Linked DNA regions of Drosophila melanogaster. The protein of the gene in region 2 interacts with the protein of the main gene of each other region in a pairwise test. Each region holds a gene or a part of one and is shown on either strand. Other genes may lie near its edges. The genes, in order: Tpc1 and CG2812.

Region 1 (5,121 bases), on a different chromosome or scaffold from region 2:
GTGGCAATCCCTTCCGGTAGCTGCCAAAGTCGTCGGGATTTAGGTTCGGATTGAACTCCCCGATGTTGGAGATGTCACGCAATCCGAACAATATACGACCGGCGTACTCCTGTGCCAACTCATCGAGCAGACTTATCCACTTGTCCAACGTGTCTCCGTGCCGGTTCTTAACAAAGTGAAACGCCACCACCTTTGGCCCATCAAATGTGAACCTCCCACCCGGCGATTTCCTATCCACTTCCGTTAATGGCGGTAGCCACAGAATCCATGGAATGGAGTTATTGTCGATGGTGTACGTCTTCACAAGAGCCATTTTCTCTCCGGACGGGAAATCGCTGAAGTAACTGTATTGTTGTTCCCAAAGATACATTTCCTTTTATACACTGCATGCATCACCGTTTAAATTTCACAACCAAAAAAGCTCACAGCAGCGAGCTTTTCTTAACATTGATTATGTTTGGAGTTTAACAGCTGCAACTCAATAACATGTTCATAAAACTAATTATTCCAATTGGAAGAAACATTTAAGCTTAAAGATTATGAGAAAAATATGAAGAATTAAATCTTAGGAGGCAGGGACAATACTCATTAAAAATAAAAGTTATTAAACTGTTGTGATGTAGTCAAATTTATTAAATTCCCTGAATACTTAGGTGTAATAATATTAATTAAATATCAAATGAACTGCCAGCGCAGTCGTTTCGTTTGCGAATCAAACAAAAGATAAATAAAAATTTGAATGTGTCTGTGAATAGAGGTGCTCTGCCGAATAATGAACTACAACCTAGCACATACAATCTATAACTTAACTGGTGCGCCAACTATTCGTGTGTGTACTAAAGCGCTGACCAAGTCAATTGGTCTATGATAAACAGAACCCCCAGAAAAGATACGCACAACCGAAAACTAATCAACAGAGTTAGCCTAAGTCTTAATATTATTTACGCGCTGCGGTAAATATATATAAAAATAGAAAATACAGTGTAGATTCCGTTTGGGCGCACAATTGCTTTCAGACGCCATTAACCCCGACTCCAAGTCCGACCTAGAAGCGCACCTGCTTGAGCTTATCGTAAATGCTGAAGTACAGGGCCGTCGTCATGCTTGACTTAAGGAGTGTGGGGGCCACGCCCTTGTACAAGCCCCTAACGCCCTCTTGGCGCACGGTCAGCCGCAAACAGTCCCAGACTCCGTGGCACTGCAGTGTCTGTCCGAAGGTCTGGCGATTCGACTCGAAGCCCTGGATTTGCAGTCGCTTTTTGATCAAATCGAAGGGATACACGATCGTCTTGGATAGCATGCCCGAGGAGGCGCCCAATCCCAGCAGCGTCCACGTGGGCAATTGGCTGCGATCGCTCACCTCCAAGAAGGCACACGCCCAGTCGCTGAACAGGCGGTAAGCCATAAAGTTGGTGCCCATCAGCGGCGTTATTTGCAGCAGGGCGGAGGACAGACCGCGGTACATGCCGCGAGGTCCCTCCTGGCGGACAATCGCCGACACAGCCCTTGTTGCATTCCTGTATCCCTTGCTGGTGTCCTGGGCAATCAGACGAGTGCGGATGACGTCCAGCGGCGTGGATATGATCACTGCTGCTCCTCCGGCCGCAGCGCCGCACAGGAAGTTCGATAGATGCTGATGATCCGCCAGATAGCTGGTCTGTTTGGCCATCAGGCTGAGCTGCTCGTACGTCCAGAACTGACAAATGCCGTACATTATGCTCAGCACTTGGGCAGGATTGTGTCCCTTCCAGAAGGCCAACATTCCCTCCTCGCGGTATATGGTTTTCACCGCCTGTCCGATGGATGTGTATTTGGAGGTAAGGGCTCCTGGTCCCTCCTTGGCGGCGTTCTTGCCCAGCGGCTCCACCTGCAGCTGGAAGCGGATCTTTAGCACGTCCAGCGGCTGGCAGGTGGAGCGCGTAATGGCCGCCGAAAGTCCACCGGCCAGCATTTGATGCAGCTGCTCCCGCGTACTGTGCTTGCGTCGCGGAACGGGAGTTGTGGTTGTGGTCGCCTCACTGGTGGAGCCTGTGGTTACCGCCATGTCTGCGTCGGAGCTACCTTTGGTTTTGCTTTTCGTGTGCGTATGTTTGCTCGTGCGGATTTCACTTTTATTGCTGCGACTGCCAACTTTTCAATGGCATTTCTGAAAATAAAGAAACGCAGACAGGTGGAGACGTTATTACAGTCGGAACTATGTAGATGCAACTATTAACTCGGACTTAGCAACTTCTATGAGGCTGGATCTAATAGGTATAGCTTATATATTATCATAAAGAATTTGTTTTGAAGGTTACTTGTAATTTACTTGACTCTTGTGAAATTCAAGGTAGATGCTGTTAAAAAGAAAGCTTAAGATTGTTTCTTGATAAAAATGAAATATGCTAGGTTTTACTGGTATCAAAGATGGAGTTTTCGAAAATCCGACTTAGCAAAGCTTGCCTGTAGCTTTCATTCAAAACGTTTTAGAGGTGCGGCAGGGCGCAAACTTCGACTTGTTTACACACATTCATCAAAGTCGATGGACAAATTGTTGTGTACAAGTGCGTAGACAGGAATTGGGAAATAGTAGGAGTGGAATTCATCTGAGGATGAGACTTACAAGTATCATGCTCCACGGAGCGTGCGTATGTCTCTGCGATTACTTCACTATTATCTCGGTCGGTTATGGCCAATTGCCCGCCAATTCGCAGAGCTCCCAAGTTGACTCCAGGTTCAAACGGCCGTTCATTGATTGACAATAGCTCGGTTGGTATTCGGGTTTATCAGCGATTTCACTTTTTTCCGCTTTTGTTGTTCGATGTCTCGGCGACCGTTGTCCAGTTCCCAAAATTCCGATGCTGCTGCTCAGATAAAGAGACAAAGGCATTGGCAACACGCTCGATGGTGATGATGATGATGTTGCTGAATGTCCAGAGCAGCGCACTACAATCTGAGCTCACCTGGAGCAGATGCGTCCGTTCGCGGGCAGAGTGCAGCAGTGACTGCGGCGCCGACGCTTCTTCATTACAGGCGGCGGCCCGTGGATTGCGTCAAAACTTTCTTTTCGCCAGACTTGTAATAGCGCCGCCGTTGAGATGCCGTTGCAGTTGTGTCAATCCCCTGCTGCCGCTGTCCAAGTTGGCCGCTTCCCACTTCCACAAACTGGTTTTCCGAATTCAAGACGCGCTGCTTCAAACCTCTACGCAACAACAACAAAACAAACTAAATTACGTCGCCAAGTGCACGGAATCAGCTGTTCGAGCCGCTGGCGATGAGCTTTTAGCGAACAGCGATGGCAACTATCGGCTATCGTGGTTGACAACAATAGTAAGAAAATAGCTAGAAGCTAAAATTCAGTTTTAGGGTTTTCTTAATTGGGAACATAAATATTTTTTAATAGTAAGCATAATTCCTGAAACCAGATCACTATGTTTATACTCGAGTTAATAAAAGGCCATTTAGGATTAAAATGATACTAACTATCGATATTAATATAGCTGTCACATGCACAGCGTTGCCACTTATGCGGGCTTTCTTGTATATTTAAAAATGCCTTAAGGTGTAGAATACAAAATGGTTAAGTTATGGTCCCTATTTCCACCCAATGCCGCCAGTGGAAGAGGCGGCTGGAGCACTAGGCGTGGGTTTATAGTCTGGTGGTATACTGAATCCAAGCACCTCAAAATTACCGCCTGGCGGAGAAGCAACAGGTGTGTTGGTCGTATATGGTGGCGATTTTTGTGCGGCTGGCGACACAGGATTTGGTGTGAATTTCACAGGCGTAGCAGGATGCGCCTCCTCTGCCTTGGGATAAAGACTGGGAAAATTAGCTGCCCCGTTTGAGCCATTGGTTCCAGGCTTCCCATCAAATGGATAGACGGGATATCTTGGCTTAAAGGTGTTGGACTCGAATTGCTCATCGCTGACGTCCTCCTGAAAGTTGGGTGAGCCTAAGCCGGAGAAACGTCGATTAATAACACTTTCGATTATGCTTTCTTTAGTGCAAAACCCACCTGGATGAGAGGCACCACTGGGCTGGGACTTCTCCGCCCCGGGCCCCTTGTCATCAGCACTTCCCAGCAGCGGCACTGTGCCAATGGTTATTGGAAAGTCCATGACCAAGTCGCCACCACCGTGCAGCTTGAAGGTCTTGGCGATGAATCGCAATGTGTAGCTAACTCGAATGGGATCCTTTTCGCTTTGCGTGGATGGAGTAGTTGGCGGCACCGTGAGGAACTCATCGAACTTGGCCTTGTTGTGCTTCAGCACCTCACCGCAGTGCTTGTCCGCCACCCGAGATTCGGTTACCTTCAACTGCTCCTTTGCGCCCGATGAGTTGGCTCTATATGAGACGTTCTTGATCAGACGCACCTTCACGTCCATACATTGGACATCCGACTGGTTGTCCAACACCAGATGGAAATGAATCTTCTGGCCGGGGACGTAGGCAGAATAAGAGGTGCTCACGTCCATGATCATCGGCTTGTGGGCACCGAAAATGGAGCCCCACCAGAAGCTCTTCGACTCCAAGCGTTGGAGGGGTTCCTAAGGGAAGTGCGCTTCATAAGGTTATTCAGTTTGGAAGAACAACCAAGACTACATACCTTATACTCGAGCCGCCTATTAAGATCATGTGGCAGGATCACCGTGAAGCACTGCTTAAATGTGTTGTTGTAGCGAACCGCGCGATCGATGGTTAGGGTAACCTCGTGCTTAATCTGACCATGAGCACCATTGAATGAGGTGGGTGCATTGGGCGGAATGGTAGCCCGGAAGGGAAAGACGTACTTGCCGGTGGGCAACTCCAGCTGCGAGCCACCGGCCTGGCCGTAAACCGGCTGGTCAGTGCTGTAGTAGACCTCGGTGGTGGTGTGGGTCACCAGGGACTTGGTCGTCTTCCCATCCTCTCCCACTCGCTCCTCGCTTTCCTGCCAACGCGTCTCGCCGTATCCATTTATGGTTATAAAGATCGCTGCAATTGGATTAATTTGTCTGTACTGCCGGGTATGTAATTCAATTATGCATTTAGTTTAATTGCCATTGACCTTGGACCTTTTGTGTGTTTCGGATGTAGAATTGTATTGGAAAATTGCTCAGCTACAAACAACTGTCTTTGTTAATGAACTAACAATAATTTAA
Region 2 (4,160 bases):
AAACAAGAAATCCGAACCCGGCCTGTGTACTCTACTCTACTCAATTCAATTTCTCCCGCCCCGCCTCCAATCCAAGTAGAGAATCAAGCACACTCAAACATCTCCCCCAAGAAACTCCAAACCACTAGGCTGTAAGTACGATCCCCCACCGATGCTGCCAAATTCCAGAATTTCGGAAGATGCCGCTTAACTGGTACCCAGTGCCACTCCATCGCCATTTCCCCCACGAGTTTTGGTTTGCTCTTGCGTTGGTTAATCCCTCCCTCCGATCGAGAATCGCCACGTAATAATCCGTATTCGCCCCGAAATTGTAGTTCCTGATGTCGTCGTCGACAGGATGTAGAGGTTTGGACCACCAAAGCCGATACGAATGTGAAAGTGAATGTGAAGGAGGACGAGTTTTCCTGCCTTTATCATTCGTGTATTAATCGCTAAGCCAGCCCTGTTACTTGCAACTGCAACATTAAATCCAACATAAATCAATTTATTTGCCTTAGAAAGTAAAATATTAATGGAACTGTGGGTTAGTAAGAACGGATTTAAATAAATATATACCAAATATATAAATTAGAACGGCCCTGTTTCATTTTCCTTTATCTGTTGGAATGGGTTTATTCAATAAATTAGATCAGTCTGAACTATTCTGCGGAAGTACAATATCGACAACGAATTTAAAGCCGCCACTGGACCGGAACATTGGACCACGGAGCTACGAGGGCGGCAGCGCCCAGAGGGTGGCCGTCTTGTCCGCCGACGTGGAGATGAAGGAGAACTCGGTCGGATGCCATCGGATGGTGATGGCCTTGTCCTTGTGCTCCGCCACCACCACGGAGGACAGCTCGTGGGCCAGGTCGCCTTGCAGGTCCGTCAGCCGGATCGAGTTGTCGTAGCTGCACGTCAGCATGTAGTAGGCGGATGGGGAGAATCGGACGCACCTTTGGGGAAGTGAAAGCCAATTTTACCAAATGCCAAGCGGGAGAGGATAGCTCTACTACCTTATTTCAGCGGTGTGCGGATAGAAGCGCTGAATGGGCCGGTTGCCACGGATGTCGTACAGAGTACAGGAGCTGTCAGCGTGCCCAGAGACTAGCAGCCTGCCGGTGGGATCTACACAGACCGCGGTTACAGCGGAGCTCTCCAGACCACCATCCTTTCGATCGTTATCCAGCGTATTCACAGAGACATTCACTCGCAGATCCCAGAAACGTATCGTTTGATCCTGAAAGAGATCATCGCATATGGTTATAGCTGGGACAGGCTGGGAAGGATCTTCCCCCGACTCACCTGCGATCCCGACACGAACATCGCGTTGTTCCAGCTGTAGAGGGACAGGATGTGGCCAGTATGACCACTGTAGGCCTGGAAGGGAGTGCCGGTTCCGCAGTCTGTGATGTAGATCTTGCAGTCCCCGGCGCCGCCGCTCGCCAGCAGCCGGGACTTGGTGGACGAGTCGTCCAGGAAGCACATGTCCCGCACCGTGCCGTCGTGCATGTTCAGCTCCATCTCGTGTCCCACCAGCTGGTTGGTGTCGTTGTTGAAGCGCATGTACTTGATGGTCTTGTCGTTCGATCCGGTGGCAATTAGCTCCCCATCCCGTGACCAGCAGGTGCAGTATATGGAGCCCCGATGGTGTTTCGTGCGCTTGCAGAGAACGGACGGGGGATACACCGCTGCCTGGTGTCCATGTCTGCATGGGATTGGGATGGGAAACGAGTTGAAGGCAAAGACGAGTTGCGACACACTGCGATTTAATTACCTCAGCTTGGACAGCGCGGGGTACTGGCAGATGCGGAAGGTCTTGGAGTTGGAGCCCACCGCGTACAACTTTCCATTCGGATGAAAGTCGACGCTCCGGATCGCCTGCGAGTCGGACAGTGTGGTAACCGCCTCGAAGTGCGGCCTCTCGACATCGCCCTGTGGCAGAGAAAATGGTCAATCAATGAATGGGGTACATGTCACTCGGATCAACCCAGATGCATATGTTTAGATTCTTTTGTTAGCTGGATACCGAAAGTTGCTTGCGTGTTCAAAATAAACAGAGCCACCTTCGATGGCAGGCCAGCACTCGCACCTTTCTCAAATCCAGGTCCCTCGATTCCGGATTCATGAATGGTGTATTTTCCGAGGATCTATACAGTTTTTCACACTTATTTCGAGTATTTTCTGGAGCTTGGATCGTTTCTGTTTCGACCACACAGTTTCTAAGCCATCCGAGGTAATAGAACGTACAACTCGCCACGGTTGAAATAACAAAAGTGGGGAGAAACCATCGAGTAGCAGTGTTGGTCAATCTGCCAGATGCATCTGATTTTACGTCGCGATTGTAGAAAGACAGGTAAAGTATCTTGCAAACGCTGTTTACTCCGTTTCCAAGCGACGCGGCCAGGGTATGTGTGTAGATGTAGACCAAATGATAAACGCCTTCGGTTCTTATTGTTACAATTTTTTGATATTTTATTTACGTAAAAATAAAATATTTGGACATATGATTGAATATAACAAATTAATAACCTTCTTTAAAAATTTGATTGATTCTTAAACTTGTCTAGTGTTGCGAACTCTTATAAAACTGAGCGATTAATGCTCTTAAGAGTAAATTGTTATAACTTCTCGGCCTCCTCCGCGAACCATTAACACTTTTTCAAGGCCCTCTGTTAATACCTCCAGAAATTCCATATCTACGGATTGGATATAAACGGGTTAGTTTGTGCCTCAGATACATTCCCCTTTCAGATCTTACAATTTCTTTCACGCTCCGCTCTCACTTCCCTAGGTGGTCCAGGTAGATTCATTATGACCAACTGGGCGTCCTGTGACTTTTCTACAATAACCTCGTTTAGTTTTATTGCTGTGTGCATGCGACGAACGTTGAACTCATCCCTGTGGAAAGAAATATAAGGACAATTAGGACACCGTAAAGTGGGCCATAAGAGAGCTGTTCCATACGGTTTCACACTGGACTTGAAGTCTCCGTCGGCTTTCTCTGTCGATTCATCCTTGTTAGAAGTAGTTTCGGGTGTGTCCGCGTTCTCGGGACCATCCAAATCAATTGAGTTACGTTTCTCGTCGTTTTGAGAATCCTGCAGAATTACAATTAGTCACATTATCAGATCTTTAGCGTGGCATTAGCCTTGAGTTTTGGATGACAAGTGCCGTCGACATTAAAAACTCAAAAGTTCATTTCAAATCAACCATGTTAAGAAGCCAAAATATCAGTTAGAACAAAACTCAAGATAACTCGGGAATGGATTTCGATTGCTACTGTTGATTATGCTTCAAAACTAAAATGTTTCAGGCTTACATTTGATGAGTCGTCGATCTCACTTAACTTTACTTATGTCATATGTGTATTTCGAGAGATAAGAGACAATGGTAAATAAAAATCTTAAGGCAGTACATACGTGATGCTGTGTTTCTTCTATAGTTGGATCGGCGAAGCGAACTTTAGACGCCGTTTTGGTGGCGTCATAATGGTGGTCTACAATTGTTTGAACCTGAAAATGTCACCATGAGGAGTATGAGAAAAGGTTGCGGAAAAGTGGGAGGCCAATATCAGAGGAGGGAGTAACTATTCTCGGGATGCAAACCGCAAAGCAGGAAACTCTATTTCAACTTTATTTCCCTATTGGTAGTTGAACTTATAGATGGGATCCAAAGTCCCAATGCTTTAAATTAAAATAAAGAATTTGATTGTAAAGATTACCGACAATTCTTAAGTACACTTGTTATTCGATATTTAAACTTTTATTAAATTTGAAAAACTCAATCAATTAAAGGAATATTAAAGTTAATCATTCCTGGGGAATGAAGAACCATATAAGACTATTTTTTAGATTATTGTAGAAAAAGACATTACTCAGAAGTACTCGGTGTTGAGAATAATTTGATAGAGTTATTATTGATAGAAGGGTGAGCATTAGCAACATCACATTGACACAACATATAAGGATTATGATAGGTATGGAGATGAAAGGAGCAGTTGCTCCCGCCGAGAAATGCACTGATGAGATACACACAACCAGGTTTCATACAAAGTTCGGGCAATGAATAGTTTGTATCTTGATATATCGATATATGTAGGCAATCTGTTTATACTCTTTACCAAAGACATTTTATTATCACTGGGTGTTTCCTTATAGTCCATTATAGTCTGAACCTTT

The links.
Region 1: the proteins of CG2812 (region 2) and Tpc1 interact in a two-hybrid assay, tested with the Drosophila melanogaster proteins (one large-scale study listed by BioGRID).

What each region holds. Positions count from the first base shown.
Region 1 is NT_033777.3:10,878,961-10,884,081, forward strand, and holds Tpc1 (thiamine pyrophosphate carrier protein 1), read right to left. Parts: upstream 3,229-5,121; 5' UTR 2,603-3,228; intron 2,147-2,602; 5' UTR 2,045-2,146; coding exon 1,046-2,044; 3' UTR 612-1,045; downstream 1-611. Other genes in the region: CG14695 (uncharacterized protein), read right to left, coding at 1-313; CG14696 (uncharacterized protein), read right to left, coding at 3,574-3,932, 3,996-4,527, 4,587-4,954.
Region 2 is NT_033778.4:23,923,336-23,927,495, reverse strand, and holds CG2812 (uncharacterized protein), read right to left. Parts: upstream 2,261-4,160; 5' UTR 2,108-2,260; coding exon 2,072-2,107; exon of another isoform or gene 1,915-2,071; coding exon 1,757-1,914; exon of another isoform or gene 1,688-1,756; coding exon 1,285-1,687; exon of another isoform or gene 1,220-1,284; coding exon 996-1,219; exon of another isoform or gene 936-995; coding exon 710-935; 3' UTR 585-709; downstream 1-584. Other genes in the region: kcc (kazachoc), read right to left, coding at 2,587-2,678, 2,741-2,880, 2,947-3,080, 3,402-3,494, 4,103-4,156.